Linked DNA regions of Sus scrofa. The protein of the gene in region 1 interacts with the protein of each later gene in a pairwise test. Links are inferred from orthologs where the notes say so. Each region holds a gene or a part of one and is shown in the gene's direction. Other genes may lie near its edges.

Region 1 (4,546 bases):
CACTACAGGTGAGGGTTTTAGGGGGCCTTCCTGGAATAGATAGGGCAAGGACATAGAAACAGTTGGTGACTCTGACCTTCCTTCTCTTTGATGATGCAGATTAATAACTTGAATGTGGAAGAGAGCAGCAGTGGGGATCAGAGGCGGGCCCCACTGGCTCCAGGGACCTGGAGGTCTGCACCCGTTCCAATTACCACTCAGAGCCCACCTGGCGCACCTCCCAATGTTCTCTGGCAGACCCCATTGGCCTGGCAGAACCCATCAGGCTGGCAAAATCAGCCAGCCAGGCAGACCCCACCAGCACGACAGAGCCCCCCAGCTAGGCAGACCCCACCAGCCTGGCAAAACCCAGTTGCTTGGCAGAACCCAGTGATCTGGCCAAACCCAGTGATCTGGCAGAATCCTGTGATCTGGCCAAACCCCATTGTCTGGCCTGGTCCAGTTGTCTGGCCGAACCCACTGGCCTGGCAAAATCCACCTGGATGGCAGACCCCACCTGGATGGCAGACTCCACCAGGCTGGCAGGGTCCTCCAGATTGGCAAGGCCCTCCTGACTGGCCACTGCCCCCCGACTGGCCACTGCCACCTGATTGGCCACTTCCCACTGACTGGCCGCTCCCACCTGACTGGATTCCCACTGATTGGCCAGTTCCACCTGACTGGCAGAACCTGCGCCCCTCACCGAACCTGCGCCCCTCTCCCAACTCGCGTGCCTCACAGAACCTGGGTGCCTCACAGCCCCGAGATGTGGCCCTTCTTCAGGAAAGAGTAAGAATTGTAACTGCAGTCACTTTCCCTCTCCCTCTTGCTCTTTTCCCTCTTGTCAAGTGGCCTGTAAATCGCTTATAACTTTAATGCTTTCTTTTTTCCTTCTCAGGCGAACAAGTTGGTCAAGTACCTGATGCTTAAAGATTACACAAAGGTGCCCATCAAGCGCTCAGGTGGGCATCCAGTGCCCTCTCCCAGAGCTCTGCCCTGTGTGGCCATTTCTTTGCTCATGTCCCTTCCCCTTCAGTCCCCTCCTTCTGCAATTGAGTCTTCCTTTTCCACCCTTGAGGACATTGCTCCCCTCAGCAGGGCTGGCAAAGAGGTTGTAGTTCTGTGGCCTCAGCTCAGGTGCTCCCTCCTCTCTCCTGCAGAAATGCTGAGGGATATCATCCGTGAATACACTGATGTGTATCCAGAAATCATTGAACGCGCATGTTTTGTCCTAGAGAAGGTGAGAAGGCAGCCCTGAAGGACAGGAATGATGGGGAAGGTTTTTTTAAAAATAGATATTATGGGAAAGTCTCGATTTCAAAGATTTCATAGGATCCCTACTGGGAATTTAGGGTGAGTGTCACAGGGAGGGGAGTGACTGAATATGGGTAGCTTATGCTAGATTTTGTAATTTCATAGTCTGATTTTTTTTTTGGTCCCTGTAGAAATTTGGAATTCAACTGAAGGAAATTGACAAAGAAGAACACCTGTATATTCTCATCAGTACCCCCGAGTCCCTGGCTGGCATACTGGGAACGTAAGATGGGAAGGGAGGTGGAACATGGCCTTTCTCAGGGGTGCTTTTTTCCTGGGAGTTTCAAGTAGGTCAAGGTCCAGGATTCAAGGTCACATAACAGGGTCATGTGCAGAACTGGGATAGAATTCTCTCCTAGCCTAACTAGGGAAGTGAGAGGGGTGAGTTGCCTGGGGCGTCGCATTCATATGGCTGTTGAAAATGTATTGTTTTTGTGCTCCTTTAGGACCAAAGACACACCCAAGCTGGGTCTCCTCTTAGTGATTTTGGGTGTCATCTTCATGAATGGCAACCGTGCCAGTGAAGGTGAGTGGCTGGACAAGCAACTGGGGGTTGGCTACCGCCTGATTTCCATGCTCATTTTCCGTCCCTTGTCTCCCCTTGCCTCCCATTGCAGCTGTCCTCTGGGAGGCACTACGCAAGATGGGACTGCGTCCTGGGTATGACTGGGCTCTCTCATCTCTTGCCTGTTTATATCATCCTTTGGTAACAGAGGATGGTCCCAGGATTGCATCAGCCTGGCGGTCTAGGGGAATTGGTTTGGGGAGGTACAGAGCCCAACGATGTGACCTGGGTGAACGGGAAATAGTTCTGACCTCTCTGCCTCTTCTCTTGCCTGTGACCTCTGTGTTAGAAAACGCTTTGCTTTTCTTTGGGCAATATCATAGTCTCTGATTATGAGTTCTTTTTTTTTTTTTTTTTTTTTTTCAGGGTGAGACATCCCCTCCTTGGTGATCTGAGGAAACTTCTCACTTACGAGTTTGTAAAGCAAAAGTAAGTGATGCCTAAGCGACTTTGTGTGGTCCTCATGAGTTCTGTGTGCTGGTCAGCCTCAGAAAGCCCCTCTTATGCTCATTTCTTACACTCACTTATACCTATACACAGGCATACAGACACACATGTGTACTCAGGAGTATTTATTGAGTATACTCCTTATAGTTGAACTTTTCTGCAGTATAGTTATCTTGCAAGTGGAGCCTGTCCACCATGCCCACAGTAGGTATTTCCAAGGCTGGGCTTGGCTGAGGCTTTTGCAGTGGGCCTATTTGTGGCTCAATGACAAAATTACAAGACCCTGGAGCTAGAGCTGTTGTGACAAAGGGGGTGAAATTAAGTGCTGTCCTTTCTATGACCCTACGCCAGTCACCCTCCAGCCCTGGGTGATTGCTGGGTGTAAAAGCACTGGCACAGGAACGTGAAGGCCTGATTATTAGAGGGTAAACAATCTGTTCAGGAATGAGACTGGGGGGAGTTGTACCTGAAATCTGGGGTGTCAGAATCTAGCATTATTATGCACTGATGGACTATCATTCTGCTTGGGTAGAAACAAAGGCCTTTCTGCTCTTTCTAAGGTACCTAGACTACAGACGAGTGCCCAACAGCAACCCTCCTGAGTATGAGTTCCTCTGGGGCCTCCGTTCCTACCATGAGACTAGCAAGATGAAAGTGCTGAGATTCATTGCAGAGGTAATAGAGGAACTGCTCCAGACTTGCTAGGTCAAGGGATGAAGTATGACTGGCTGGGAAAAGTCCAGAGCAGGAATGAGATCTTAGGTATCGCACATGTAGGTGCCACATCATTGGTGGCATTTGTTGTTGTTACTGTGCAAACAGTAGCACAACGTAGGGCGTTAAATATATAGCAGGTGCTTCATAAATATTAATGAATACTATTCTTGGTTTTATTTTCTATTCCTTATCTCAGGTTCAGAAGAGAGACCCTCGTGACTGGACTGCACAGTTCATGGAGGCTGCAGATGAGGCCTTAGATGCTCTGGATGCTGCTGCAGCTGAGGCAGAGGCCCGGGCTGAGGCGAGAACCCGCATGGGGATTGGAGATGAGGCCGTATCTGGGCCCTGGAGCTGGGATGACATTGAATTTGAGCTGCTGACCTGGGATGAGGAAGGAGATTTTGGAGATCCCTGGTCCAGAATCCCATTTACCTTCTGGGCCAGATACCACCAGAATGCTCGCTCCAGATTTCCTCAGACCTTCGCTGGCCCCATTATTGGCCCTGGTGGTACAGCCAGTGCCAACTTTGCTGCCAACTTTGGTGCCATTGGTTTCTTCTGGGTTGAGTGAGATGTTGGGTAGGTATATCACTTTGGAATTGGGCATTTAGGGTCATTGGGGATGTAGAGTCCATGGGAATGTATTTATGTGCTCTAGCTGGGAGTCCTAGGAAACCCATGGTGGGGAGATGAGGAAGGTATGGGGAAGCACCATTTGGTATTTTTGTTCCTTATTTGGTATATAGCATTGATTTTTAATTTTCTTTCTTTTTTATGTTCACAGGTATTGCTAATCAGTTGCAACAGTCTTTCCCCTGAGTGAGGCTGAAGCCTCAGAATCCTTCTAAACACAGCTATCTAGAGAGCCACATCCTGTTGACTGAAAGTGGCATGCAAGATAAATTTATTTGCTGTTCCTTGTCTATTGCTTTTTTCCCCCTTGTGTGCTGTCAGGTTTTGGTATCAGAAATAAACGTTGAAACTGCAAAGTGAGTTAGATGTGTTCCCTGTTTTTTTCTGTGTTTAGGGAGAGATCAACTTGTTTATATGGGAGAGACGGGGCCTCAGTTCTAGCCTAACACAGAGGCAGATTAGTTTTCTGGCTAATGGATTGGGAAACAAGGGCTTGACGAACATGAATGCTAATGAGATCCAAGAAAAAGTATGGCTTATTTAATAAATATCATGTAAGTGACTCATATGTGATAGATACTCTGCTAGGTGCTTTGGAGTGACATTGAAAGATGAAATAATGAGAGAGGGTGTAGGTGGTCAGACAGTTGCATTTAAGAAGACAGAAGAGGCAGAACTCCAGGTAATAATAAAGTTCAAAGAGTGGGTGGCTGAAGGGAAGGGAAGATGACTGTTCCCGGAGATAATGTTCTGGGGACTCCAGGGTGTTGGTTGTATTATCCATGTGGAAAGTGAATAACTCCAAGATGGGGGCAGAAATAGGAACAGAGAACACTGTGAACATGGTTCCTAAGTTTCCTGTGTGAGATGGAAGATCTCATACCCCTC
Region 2 (4,505 bases), on another chromosome or scaffold:
TACCTTAATGAACTTAATGTGTTTAAGAAAGTCAGATCTCCTTGATGTGGCTGAGAAGGGAAGAGATTTAGACAGAGAATCCAATTGTTTTGATTAGTAAAGTAACAGAAAATTTTAGTTTTTCTCTGATGAAAGTTTTGAGGGCATCCTGTTGTTGGGAGGAAGTAAAAAGATGAGAGTTGTCACTAGAGATGAGAGCCCTGAGCATCTGGTCCTACCAGCTTCCCTGATCCATTCTTCCCCCAGCACCCAGAGTGGATTTTTTTCTCCCCAGCTGTGCCTGTGGCTTGTGGAAGCTCTCAGGACAGGGATCGAACCTTCGCCACAGCAGTGACAATGCTGGGTCCTTAATCTCTAGGCCACCAAGGGAACTCCCGAAGTGACCTTTCAAAACCTCTAACTGAATCACGTTGTTCCCTCTCCCCTAGTACATTACCAGCTACCTAGAAGTTTCTCAGGGAGTTCCCAGCCTGGCTCAGGAGAAACAAATCTGACTAGTGTCCATAAGGAGGTGGGTTCGACCCCTGGCCTCACTCAGTGGGTTAAGGATCCAGCATTGCTGTGAGCTGTGGTGCGGGTCGCAGATGCAGCTTCTCTCTGGCTTTGCTGTGGCTGTGGTGTAGGCCGGTGGCTACAGCTCCGATTTGACCCCTAGCCTGGGAAGCTCTATATGCTGTGGGTGCAGCCCTAAAAAGACACACACATGCACACACAGAAAGTTTCTCAGTGACAATCTGCTAAGTGAATGAGTGAATGAGAACATTTGCTAGAGGGCTGGAGGATCCCTAAAGAAAAGGACAGCCATGGAAAAATTCTGTACTTACTAACACTACCTAGTAAGGGTGGCTTTGGACAATGAGGTTGAATGATCATTTCAAAGTGTTTACTTATTCCGTGTTTTACTGTCATCACCCCTCCTCTCCACCCCGCCTCCCCAAATAACCTTCAGCAAAGGTCTGCTGCACAAAACTGCACTATTTGGGGAGGATTTAGGAATGAAACCAGAAAATGTCTAGGCGACGTGCGAAACGATGTCTAAAGATGTTGGTCATCACAAGAGGAGCGCTAATGAACCGGGGGACCCAGAATTCAAAAGGAGCAGGCATTCCAAGTGAGAGGGGACCAGAATCCTCTGAACATTTGGGGTGGTTGTCATGTCGCTTACCCTGGGTTAGAACCTTGGGCCCTTCTTTTTGGCTGTTGAAGTAAAGAATTACCTGGGGGACTTTGGAGTATTTCACATCTCCCAGGTTACGTAAGGACGGCAAATATTTAACTCGTAGAGAGTTTTTGAGGATTATATTGGGATAATTCATATAAAGCGCTTAGCACAGCGCCTGGCACATAGTAAGAGCTCAGCAAACGTTAATTGCTGTTTTCCTCACTTTCTTCCAATCCCTCCACTCCCTTTCCGCCGGCTCCATTCATTCTTTTCCAAGGACATGCAAGGGGCGTGGCCATTCCTCCCTCCGCCCAACCCAAGCCCCGCCCCTCCCTTCTGCCCGGATTGGTTCCTGAGAGGCGGAGAGGAGGGAAGCGCCCAGTCCGAAGCGGTGGGGGCGGGGCGCATGCGCGGGCTGAGCCGGGTGGAGGAGGAGAGGAAGAGCTGCCGGAAGTAGGCGGCGGAGGTGGTGCCCGAGCAGGCGGCAGCTGCCAGGGAAACCGAGGCGCTGGACTCTGCCCGCGGACAGGCAGGCCGGGGGGTAGTCTCTGCGCCCGGCACTCAGGAAACCCGAGAGCCCCCCTTGCCTGGCGTGAGGGTTCCTGTCTGGTCCCGCAGCCCGGTCGGGACCCGAGCCTTTCCCTAAGCCCGCCAGGGGGCGCCGCCTTGAGGGGCTGCAGAGCGGGGGTCGGGCGCGGCTGAGGGGAGAAGGGGCGCCAGGCCGGGCCAGGGGAGAGGGCTCTCCCCCGCTCAGGAGGTGCCCCTGGGCGGGGACCGGGAGTCCTCACCTCCGGACTGAGGCAAGGGTTTCTGGGGGGCTCGGAGGGCGCGTCGCCCTCTGCCCCCGCCGGCACCCTGGCCATGACGGGCAAATCGGTGAAGGACGTGGATCGGTATCAGGCGGTTCTGGCCAACCTGCTGCTGGAGGAGGATAACAAGTTTTGTGCGGACTGCCAGTCTAAAGGTAGAGCATCCCTCCCGGCGGGCGAGGGGTCCAGCCTCCGGGCGGAACCGGGGAGGCGGACTGGGTGGGAAGAGGTCTCTGGAGCTTAGGTGGCCCCGATCCTCTAAATGGTAACGCGTGCTAGCCTTGCTGAAGAGGCTTCTAGGTGTTCTGCAGCGCAGGCATTGGTGTGGGGAGAGGTTGCGAGGGCGACTGTGGGGGGCGGTGATGGTGGGGGTGGAAGTGGCGTGGTGTGTGCAGGTGAGAATGTCTGTATTTCAGGGCTGTGAGTGAGTTCTGGGCCGACTGTCAGTCCAGAGGCAGCCGGGAGTTCACAGCCTTCTGCTTGCAAAGCTGGGGATGAACTGCAGTGAGTGGTGTGTGCGGTGTGTGTGTGTGTGTGTGTGTGCGAGAGAGAGCGCGAGAGAGAGGGGAGGAAGGGGGAGGAGGGAAGGGAGATGACGGTGAGAAAAACTGCTTAAATGATTTTAAGGAGGTGAGGGTTGCTGACTGCTATTTGGTTAGCAGCTCCTTCCGTCAGTTTACAGCCTTGCTGAGATCTGACAGTGCTTAGGTGGCTTTCCTCTTTCTGGATGTGTGGAGGGGAAACTGCCTTGTGCAGTGACACAGTGCGGATTTCTAGACAGCCTAGCCCTGGCTTGTGCAGTGTGTTGGAGGCCTGATGTGCGTGTGGTGGCAGAAACTAGCAGATTGTGGCTGTAGTGCAGGATCGGTTTAATCAGTGCTGAGAAGGAAGCAAAGCATGCTTCGAATTTGTTGCTTCCAGGGCAGCCACCCTTCTAAGGGGAAATGTGATCATTGTAGATTGTCAGAGCCATTTAGTCTTTGTTTTCTGTGCCCTCAAAGATTCAGGATTTGATACAATTACAAATCAGTATGCTAGGAAAGCTTGGTTATTCGTGAAATGTTTACACTCAATTTATAGACGATAAATATTTTGTTTCCTCATTTTCTTTCCGAATTCTTTGGAATATAATTGGAGTTGGGAAGATTCTTTTCCTTTTGGTTTGAGTAGAAAGGGATGCATTTTGGGAGCTATATTAATTTACTTTTGTTTGTAATGCAGTGGATTTGCCTGGGTTGTTTGCCATGTAGCATGTTGGACATATAGTGCAGAACAAAGATTCAGATGTATTTGTATTTATCAACATTGAGAAAGGAAGTACATGCTTAATTGATGCTTTCACTTAATTACCTTTCATTTTAGAGAAATAGGTTATGTAAGGAGATCGGGGAGAGAGACATTGATCAGGACGCTTTATAGTATATTTTAGTGCCCTTTCCCCATAGACAAATGGCATGTGCCATTAGGAAAGCAGGTCCCCAGACTTCTTTCCTAAATTCATTGGCAAGAATTCATTTTTAAAAGAGTTTTGGAATCAGTTTATGTTAAGTAGGTTCATTTTGTCTCTCGTGGACTCTTGTGAGATCTTGTGCTAGATCTAGTGAAAGATTTGGTTTAAAATTTAGGAGTATATCTCTTGGCTTTACTCAAATTCCCTTGTGTCCTCAGTTGACAGATCTTGAGTCACAGTGAAACAACCCACTGGAGAGAGCATTGCTACATTAGGGGAGTCAGATGCCATTTTGATGCTTTGTGCCACTGCAGCCCCGTTTTGCATACCACTCTTATCTTACTCATATTCCAATAAAACATAGCACATGGGAGAGAGGTTGATTCATCAGTTCTTCCTCCAAATTTTCCATTGCTCTTTATCAACAGAATTACTGGGGATCAGGTAATGAAACATTAGTAAATTAAATCTTAATGAGAGCTAGTGACTGCTGGCTTGTAAACTTTATTAACGGCTCTTGGCAATAGAATCCTGGTTCCTGAAACAATTTCTCTTCACAAATTAGTTTTACCTTTTGGCTTGGTGGCTTCAGTGACTTTGGCCATTGTATTAAAAATGAGATGACAGTGTGTCCATCAGTTGTCTTTCAGTTCAGTTAAATAAGGTATTTGTTCTCGGAGTTCCCGTCGTGGCACAGTGGTTAACGAATCTGACTAGGAACCATGAGGTTTCAGGTTCGATCCCTGGCCTTACTCAGTGGGTTGAGGATCCAGCGTTGCCATGAGCTGTGGTGTGGGTCACAGACCAGCTCGGATCCCACGTTGCTGTGGCTCTGGCGTAGGCCGGTGGCTACAGCTCCGATTAGATCCCTAGCCTGGGAACCTCCATATGCTCAAGAAAAGGCAAAAAAAAAAAAAAAAAAAAAAAAGTTTGTTCTGGCCTCAGTTTATTAATCTGTGAGTTAATCAGGCCCCTTCCACTCTTTCAAGGCCTCTCCTTCATTTTCCACTCCTTTTTCCTAATTTTGATTGTTGTCATGATCATGTGGACAACTTATCGGATCTTGGAAGGGAGAGACCCTTGC

The links.
Region 2: the proteins of MAGED1 (region 1) and SMAP2 interact in binary tests that used the Homo sapiens proteins (3 or more experiments, as listed by UniProt). The two-hybrid records come from large-scale screens. The link is inferred for Sus scrofa from reciprocal best matches to the Homo sapiens genes MAGED1 and SMAP2.

Annotation. Positions count from the first base shown.
Region 1 is NC_010461.5:45,325,265-45,329,810, forward strand, and holds the end of MAGED1 (melanoma-associated antigen D1), read left to right. Parts: intron 1-99; coding exon 100-768; intron 769-877; coding exon 878-941; coding exon of another isoform or gene 942-1,139; coding exon 1,140-1,219; intron 1,220-1,424; coding exon 1,425-1,516; intron 1,517-1,739; coding exon 1,740-1,819; intron 1,820-1,910; coding exon 1,911-1,953; intron 1,954-2,224; coding exon 2,225-2,287; intron 2,288-2,865; coding exon 2,866-2,980; intron 2,981-3,218; coding exon 3,219-3,596; 3' UTR 3,597-3,604; intron 3,605-3,809; 3' UTR 3,810-4,018; downstream 4,019-4,546. UniProt on the Homo sapiens protein: Involved in the apoptotic response after nerve growth factor (NGF) binding in neuronal cells. Inhibits cell cycle progression, and facilitates NGFR-mediated apoptosis. May act as a regulator of the function of DLX family members.
Region 2 is NC_010448.4:170,760,895-170,765,399, reverse strand, and holds the start of SMAP2 (stromal membrane-associated protein 2), read left to right. Parts: upstream 1-1,603; 5' UTR 1,604-2,023; coding exon 2,024-2,126; intron 2,127-4,505.